Caenorhabditis elegans: one gene and its partner. The protein of the gene in region 1 interacts with the protein of each later gene in a pairwise test. Each region holds a gene or a part of one and is shown on either strand. Other genes may lie near its edges. The genes, in order: gpd-1 and zyg-8.

Region 1 (3,847 bases):
GAAAATTTTTAAAAAATTGAAATTTTTATAATAGATCTTAACTTAAAAAAAAACGTTTTCAGGGCCGTCTATTTCTACACATACTCTACATCAAAACGATTTTGGAATGAGTCGGAAGTTCTAATTCCAAATTCTGCGATTGTGCACATGGTGTCTGCTGGTTCGGCTGGATTCGTGGCGGCATCGGCTGTTAATCCTATATGGCTCGTGAAAACACGCCTTCAGCTTCACCAAGGACACATTGGAATATGGCAAATGATTAAGAGAGTTTATCATCGAGAAGGATTCAAAGGATTCTACAAGGTAGGAATTTATTTGTAGAAATTTCTAAAAAAAAATCTTAATCTTCGCCTTTTTCAGGGTGTGACAGCTTCCTACGCGGGTGTCTCCGAAACGATGATTCAGTTTTGTATATACGAGTATTTCCGTGGTGTGTTGCTCAGTGATGCCAACGAAATGGACAAGAGAAAAATGGACTTCCTAAACTTTATGGTTGCCGGTGGTTCTGCAAAGTTTATTGCTTGTGTTGTCGCTTATCCGCATGAAGTGGTCCGTACACGTCTTCGTGAAGAAACAGGAAAGTCACGTGGATTCTTCAAGACACTTTATCAGCTGTACAAAGAAGGATATCCGGCAATGTATCGTGGTTTGTCAGTGCAGGTGAGCGATTCTTGATTTTTAAATTAATTATGAATTTAATTCATTCCAGCTGATGCGTACTGTACCAAACACTGCTATCACAATGGGAACCTACGAGTTTGTCGTCTACATGCTTCATCATCTATAGAAGGATCTGGTTTCTGCAGCTGAATACCTTTCCGCAATTTAATGATCTTTTTTTCACAGATCATATCAGTCTAAATATCATTTTTCTTCTTCTCATTTGGCCCTGATAGTTAAATCTCTGTTCTCTCATTATATTTATTAGCTTTTTGAAAAATGTAATTATTTTCTCTTTTTCGAGTATTCTAACGTTTTTAAATAGCAGATTCGACCTTTCTTTTTGCAAAGTTTAAAATAGTTAAGCCCTGTTTGTTTGTTTTGTTGAAAGCCCACAGGAACCAATTTACTACTTCTGTTCCTTTTCTCCATTATTAAATCATCCTTATCTTTCTTTCATCCGCCTCTTTTTCCGGTCGCTGCGAAAATGATTGTGTGCTCTCTTCCTTCCCCTGTTAACAGTTTCTTTCTTCTCCGGTTATCCGGCGGGTCGTTCTTCGTCGTTGCTGCTGATTCTGCTGCTGCTCATCCTAGAGCCTTTGTGTTGTAAAAACATGTTCTATTGAATAAATTCACTAAAAGTCGCAACAAGAAATAATTACAGATGTGATCAGCGGATTTAAGTTAAAACATCAATAAAACAGTCCGGAACTCTTGACAAATTTAGTTTTATTTCCGATTTTTCGGAATAAAAGCTCATTTTTCCAATAATTTTTGGTCTTCTCTTCATTTTTGAAGAAAATTAATTGATTTTTTCACCGTAATGTTTCAATTTTAAAGGGATGACCAAAATCAAACACCTCAGGTCTCGCGACGAATTTGACAAATATTTTTTGCGCTTTGCTGGCGCGCGCGAGCGGCAATTTTTCAATTATTCCAATCGCCCGCGCAAGTTTCTGCTGTTTTTCACCAATCTGGATTTCTTTCTCATCATTTATTCTCATTTAAGTTTCGATGCGGTTGATTTTATTTCACTGTTGATTTTGCTTTTCTTTCTTTTCTTTAATCTGAATTTTCGCCATTTTTATTCAGATTTGTTCCTTCTTAACTATTGCTTCTTGTGAATCTTCCGTCAAAATTTCATTCAAGTTTTCTTACAGACTCAAAAATGTCGAAGGCCAACGTCGGAATCAACGGTTTCGGAAGAATCGGACGTCTCGTGCTCCGCGCGGCTGTCGAAAAGGACACGGTTCAAGTGGTCGCCGTCAACGATCCGTTTATCACAATCGACTACATGGTCTACCTTTTCAAGTATGACTCGACCCACGGTCAATTCAAAGGAACTGTTACCTACGATGGAGACTTTCTGATTGTCCAGAAAGATGGCAAATCATCGCACAAGATCAAGGTCTTCAACAGCAAGGATCCAGCTGCCATCGCATGGGGATCAGTCAAAGCCGATTTCGTTGTCGAGTCTACTGGAGTTTTCACGACAAAGGAAAAGGCTTCTGCTCATCTTCAAGGAGGAGCCAAGAAGGTCATCATCTCTGCTCCATCTGCTGATGCTCCAATGTACGTGGTTGGAGTAAACCATGAGAAGTACGACGCTTCGAATGATCACGTTGTTTCTAACGCATCGTGCACCACCAACTGTCTGGCACCACTGGCGAAGGTTATCAATGATAACTTCGGTATGATCATCATCAAATCAATTTGTTTTTTTCTAATTTATTTTATTTTCAGGTATCATCGAAGGACTCATGACGACAGTGCACGCTGTAACCGCAACCCAGAAGACAGTCGATGGACCATCCGGAAAGCTGTGGAGAGATGGACGCGGTGCTGGACAAAACATCATTCCAGCTTCCACTGGAGCCGCCAAGGCTGTGGGAAAAGTCATTCCGGAGCTGAACGGAAAACTCACTGGAATGGCTTTCCGTGTCCCTACACCAGATGTTTCCGTCGTTGATCTGACCGTTCGCCTCGAGAAGCCAGCTTCGATGGACGACATCAAGAAGGTAGTCAAGGCCGCTGCCGATGGACCAATGAAGGGAATCCTCGCCTACACTGAAGATCAAGTTGTGTCGACTGATTTCGTGTCCGACCCTCACTCGTCCATTTTCGATGCTGGAGCATGCATTTCGCTCAACCCGAACTTCGTCAAGCTCGTCTCTTGGTAACCACTGAATGTTTAAAAAATCTATTCTAAATTTATTCTTTGCAGGTACGACAATGAATATGGATACTCGAACCGTGTTGTCGACCTCATCGGATACATCGCCACCCGTGGATAATTCTATCAGGATCTTTTATGTACAATCCATGTATTTCATAGCCATTTTTTATTACAGTCATCATTGAATGAACCTATTTTTCTGGTGAAATCTAGTACTTTTGTCATGATTTCAGAAAAGAGCTTGAAGTGACCTCTAAAGTCAATGTCTATTGAAATTTAATTGAAAAGGTACGGAGGCGGAAGCCATACTTTCCGTACTTCACATATAAAAAATGATGTCTGTGGTGTTGGTGAGATTAGAAATAGGTCTACTAGAATACAAACTACAATTTTCCTACCAACAAAAGTGCGGAAGAGAAAAACTTCGGCCGTGTAGTCCTCTCGGAGTTTTTCCTTTTCCTGCCTTTTGTATACAAATTTGTATGTATTTGCTTCGATTTTGTTTCTTGTTTACTATTTTATCAACTTTTTCAAGCATTATATTTTTTATAATTTTTAAAAGCATTTCCAGAATTGGCGATTTTCATATCTTCATGAATCGAGTACTCGCACGTTTTTGCTCTTCGATTCCTTCTTGCTCTCAACGGTTTACGGAAGAAGAGTAAGTTTTTAAAAGTTTTTGAAACCCACGAAGCAATACTTTTTCAGGTTACAAGCAATAATCGAACTGAAACGAAGATCCGAGCGAATTCTAGACAAAGCTGCTCAAAATGTTTTGAAAGGCAGAAGCTGGGCGAAGTTTGATTCGCTAGAATAGTTCAAAAAATTCATTTTGAATTTATCTGACAGAGCTCCCGTGCTTGAAGTGAGTGGAAGAAAACCACCGGCGAGTTGGCAACGATCCAGCAAAAAAGGCCAACGATTCTTCGATCAAAATGAACAGATTCAGCAGTCTGTGGTGAAACTGAGATGGGCTGATTTTGCGGAAAGGTACTTCTTTTCGATTTCTGG
Region 2 (4,818 bases), on another chromosome or scaffold:
ACGCGTGGGAAAGTCGTGTACTCCACACGGACAAATACATTTAGTTTTACAATCGAGCCGCGACGCGACACGCAACGCAACGTAAATCTACCCCAGATTTGGCCTGGCCTAGTTCGGCAAAAAACTCTTCCATTTCAATTTATGGAGGGAAGCCAGAAATCCGTGTAATATTCTTATCACAAACCGCACCTTTTTCGGCGGAGACGCAGGTGGCGCTGCACAAATGAGAAGCTGTTTAATTGGCTCTGTGGTCCCTCCGGATACCCCCTAACTAATCCCTCGTCTATTCCGTCCCCCGGCTCTGCGTTGGCTCGCGCGCGCCCCTCCCGTCAGCCAAATCAACCCACAACAACACCCGTCTGCCCTTTAGCTCTTTCGAATGAGAGGAAAACGAGAAGCAGCTCACTGCTCACTGCTCTCTGTGTGCACGCCTAGTTAATTCCCACATTCGACATTCCATGCATTTTGGAGACCAATGCTCGCGGACAGCTCATTTTGGACAATGATTCGAATTGTCAGCTAGTCATAGCATAGTAAAATTATCTCCTTTTTTTTGGTGTCACGTGGCGTCTCATTTCGGTTTGATCTACCTAGATCTACAAAAAATGCGGCAGAGTTCTCAACTGATTTCGCATGGTTAAGAACGTGCTGACGTCACATTTCTTTGGGCGAAAAATTCCCGCATTTTTTGTAGATCAATCCGTTATGGGACAGCCTGATGGAAATTTTGCTTCAAAAATCTTTAAAAAATCGAAAAAAAAAATTTCTCAGAAAATTTGAATTTCCCGCCAAAATTATTTTAAGAGAAAATTTGAATCCTCGCCAAAACAAATTCGAAAAAATAAAAAAAAATTTCCCGCCAAATTTTTTTTTCGGAAAATTTGAATTTCCCGCCAAAATAGATATTTTCCGAAAATTTGAATTTCCCGCCAAAAAAAAATTAAAAAAATTTTGAATTTCCCGCCTAAATAGGTTTTTTTTCTCGAAAAAAAATTGAATTTTCCGACGAAATAGTTGTTTCACAGAAAATTTGAATCTCCCGCCAAAATAGATATTTTCTCCGAAAATTTGAATTCCCGCCAAAAAATTCTAAAATTTTTAAATTTCCCGCCAAATTTTTTTTCGGAAAATTTGAATCCCCGACAAAAATTTTTTTTCCCAGAAAACTTTAATTTTGCTCAGAAAATCTCAAAAAAATTTGAATTTTCCACTTTTTTTTCAGAAAAAAAAATTGTTTTTCTAAAATAACAAAAAAAAAGATTAATTCCCGTCTATAGCACTTGCACCATACCCGATTGGAATTGTCCTCCTCGATTTTTAGTTCATTTTCTGTCCAATCTTTTGATTTTGCATTCCTTTCTCTTTTTCATATCCAAGGCCCATTCCGGTTTGATCTACAAAAAATGCGGGAGAAAAGACACAAATTTCTCAATTGATTTCGCATGGTTAAGAACGTGCTGACGTCACATTTTTTGGGCCAAAAATTCCCGCATTTTTGGTAGATCAAACCGTAATGGGACGGCCTGTTGCCACGTGGTATATCCCCACGTGGTGTCAGGCAGTCTCATTGCGGTTTGATCTACAAAAAATGCGGGAACTTTCCCCCAGGAAAATGTGACGTCAGTACACTCTCATTCGATGCTAAATCAGCTGAGAAATCTGCGTCTCATCTCCCGCATTTTTGGTAGATCAAACCGTAATGGGACGGCCTGACACCGCTCCGTCCTCCTCTCGTGGTTGCGCCTAACTATCGCTAATTTGGTGTTTTTTTTCGGTGTTAGACTATCTCTACTCGAACGATGCCACAAACGTCGGCGTGGCAGCTCAACGACACAACTGCTAGACCACCACCACCACCACCACCACCTGGATCTGAAGCTGGAGGATCGGATGGAGCATCTATGAATGGAGCCAACACATTGCCACGTGTATCGAAGAGGGTTTCCGCTGCTGGAAAAACGTCGAATATTCCACGATTCAAACGACGTAAGAATTGAGTGTTTGGCTTGAATTTCCCCGTTGGTGGCTTGCTTGCTTCAGCTTACGGGATATGGTTTTTTTTAATGATGAATCCGTGAATTTTGCAACAAAAAAGCAGCGTCGCACAGAAAAAGAGGCGGAGCGTAATTTTGCAACCCTGCGGCACGGTTTTTTCTCCTTTTTTTCTGAATTTTTTTTTTCGATTAATTTCATTTTTTTTACAACCATGAAATATCCTCACAATCTAATAATAAGTAAATTGGGTAATACTTTCATTCGAAAAAAGACAAATAAAAAATAGAGAAAAAACCGTGCCGCAAGGTTGCGAAATTACGAAATTACACTCCGCCTCTTTTTCGGTGCGATGCTGCTTTTTTGCAAAATTCACGGATAGATTGTTTAATTTCAATAGTACTGAGTTGAAAACTTGAAAAAAGAGACATTTTTATTTGTAAAAAGCTATTAAAAAATGATTAATACCGTCAGACTGTTGAAAACGATTTTTCCGGCAAATCGACAAATTGCCGGATTTGCCGGAAAAAAATGGCCCCTAAATTTTCCGGCAAATCGGAAAGTTGCCGGATTTTAAATTTTCCGCAAATTGGCCGATTTGCCGGAAAAAGCGGCCCCTAAAATTTTCGATTTTTCTATTTTCCGAAATTCAGAAAATTACCCATAAGATATGATTTTTTAAAAATCTAATTTTGTTTATATATTCATGATAAAGAACATCTAAAAATAAGAACAATGATCAAAGTTTAAGCGAATTTTTAAAAAATCGAAAAAATTTCGAAATATCGATTTTTCGATTTTCAAAAATCGAAAAAACCGACACCCTTGATCGTTATCACTATTCGAAAATAATTGAATCTAAAGAATCGAGATCCTGTAAATCTACACTACAGTAGTCATATAAAGAATTACTGTAGTTTTCTTTTCGCTACGAGATATTTTGCGCGTTAAATATTTTTTTGTGTTCCCGTGTAATATAATCCTAATTTCCAGCCCATCTCCCTCATTCGACACGTCCTCTCTCCGCAGTCTTGACATCATCATCATCTCCAGTTGTTCATAGAAAGATCAGTCCATCATCATCTGCTCCATCAACATCCTCCGCACATCGTCGATTCTCGCATCTTCCTCAACAACACTTCCACCATCATATTCATCACAATCAGACCGCAGTGATCAGTGAAGAAACACTGACAACTCCACGAGCATCGACTCTTAATCTCAATCAGACAAGCGTCTTCCCAACGGCAATTTCCCAGGGAAGCATGCCGAATAGTGGCACGAACACTGCGGAAGCGTCAATGACGTCATCCGTATGTGCCATGGAAACCGAGGGAACGAATGGAGATGAGCTCGCAGAGTCCAGGGATATGGTCTCAGAAATGCAGCGGAGGTGTCGAATCGGGCCATCCGGGTATCCGCATTTACTGAAAGCCAAGCGACTCCGGTTCTATAGAAATGGGGATCAATATTTCAAAGGGATTCAGTATGCTTTACAAAGTGACCGGGTGAAGAGTATGCAACCACTTATGGAAGATTTGATGAAAACTGTAATCTGTGACTCGACGGCTCTTCCACACGGAATCCGTCACATTTTCACGATCGACGGCGCTCAACGCATCACTTCCGTAGATCAATTCGAAGACGGCGGTGGTTATGTGTGTTCGAGTACCGACGCTTTCAAACCGGTCGATTATTCGAGAGCCGCCGAGCCAAGTTGGCGTCTGACACTTGCCAATCGATACAATCGACACTTGGAGACGAAGAAGCTGGCGTTGAGTGTCGTAGAGCCGTGTCATGAGAATACGGATTTCGTGTTTCCACGAATTATCAAGGTTATTCGGAATGGGGTGAAGCCAAGGCGGATTAGTAGGCATTTGTTGAACAAGAAGACGGCGAGGTGAGAGCAAAAAATCGCCCCGACCAATCAGCGATTCGCTCCGCCGCCCACTTTCCAACCAATCAGGCGACGTGGGTGGAGTTCGAAGGTGTTGATTGGTCGGGTGAAGTCTCATTTTGAAGGGAATTCAAAAATGATTGTTTTTTTCGCGTTTTTCCTATTTTCCTAAGGAAAAAAAAATTATTTTTCAACCAAAAAAAGTGGCGGCGATTCAAAATTTTGAATGAAAAAGACAAAAAATTCAAAAAAAAAATATGCGAAAGAACGAAAAATTCGAATTTTTCTGCGACCAATCAGCAATTCGCTCCGCCCATTTTTCGCCCAATCAGGTGAGGTGGGCGGAGTTTGAAGATGCCTAAACGAGAACTCCCGCCCACTTCTTCAGATTGGTTCAAAAGTGGGCGGAGCTAATCGCTGATTGGTCGCAGATTTTTTTTGAATTTTTTGTCTTTTTTCTTAAAAATGTTGAACCGTCGCAACTTACAAAAAAAAAATTTTTTTTCATTACGAAAATAGGAAAAAAGCGAAAAAAACAATCAATTTTGAATTCCCTCCAAAATGAAACTTTACCCGACCAATCAGCGCCTTCGAAACCCCCCCCCCCCCCCCCCCCCCACTTCATCTGATTGGTTGAAAAATGGGCGGAGCAAATCGCTGATTGGTCGCAGTGGGAATTTGTCTAAAATTGGAAAAAATCGGTGTTTTTTGTTTTTTTTTCGAATTTTTTCCCAAAAAAAACACAAAAACCCAATTTACACTGCGACCAATCAGCGATTAGCTCCGCCCACTTTCCAACCAATCAGATGGAGTGGGCGGAGTTCGAAGGCGCTGATTGGTTGGTGAAAATTCGGTTATATTCCCTCCAAAAAGAGAACTCCCCGCCCACTTCATCTGATTGGTTGAAAAATGGGCGCGGAGCTAATCGC

Evidence for each region.
Region 2: the proteins of gpd-1 (region 1) and zyg-8 interact in a two-hybrid assay, tested with the Caenorhabditis elegans proteins (one large-scale study listed by BioGRID).

The regions. Positions count from the first base shown.
Region 1 is NC_003280.10:10,392,309-10,396,155, forward strand, and holds gpd-1 (Glyceraldehyde-3-phosphate dehydrogenase 1), read left to right. Parts: upstream 1-1,820; 5' UTR 1,821-1,828; coding exon 1,829-2,351; intron 2,352-2,403; coding exon 2,404-2,836; intron 2,837-2,884; coding exon 2,885-2,954; 3' UTR 2,955-3,041; downstream 3,042-3,847. Other genes in the region: T09F3.2 (uncharacterized protein), read left to right, coding at 63-303, 361-660, 710-787; T09F3.4 (39S ribosomal protein L22, mitochondrial), read left to right, coding at 3,430-3,497, 3,545-3,634, 3,686-3,826.
Region 2 is NC_003281.10:12,059,940-12,064,757, forward strand, and holds the start of zyg-8 (Serine/threonine-protein kinase zyg-8), read left to right. Parts: upstream 1-1,773; 5' UTR 1,774-1,799; coding exon 1,800-1,986; intron 1,987-2,985; coding exon 2,986-3,892; intron 3,893-4,818. UniProt on the Caenorhabditis elegans protein: Probable kinase. Kinase activity may be involved in positioning of spindle poles in meiosis and mitosis. Plays a role in spindle positioning during asymmetric division of one-cell stage embryos.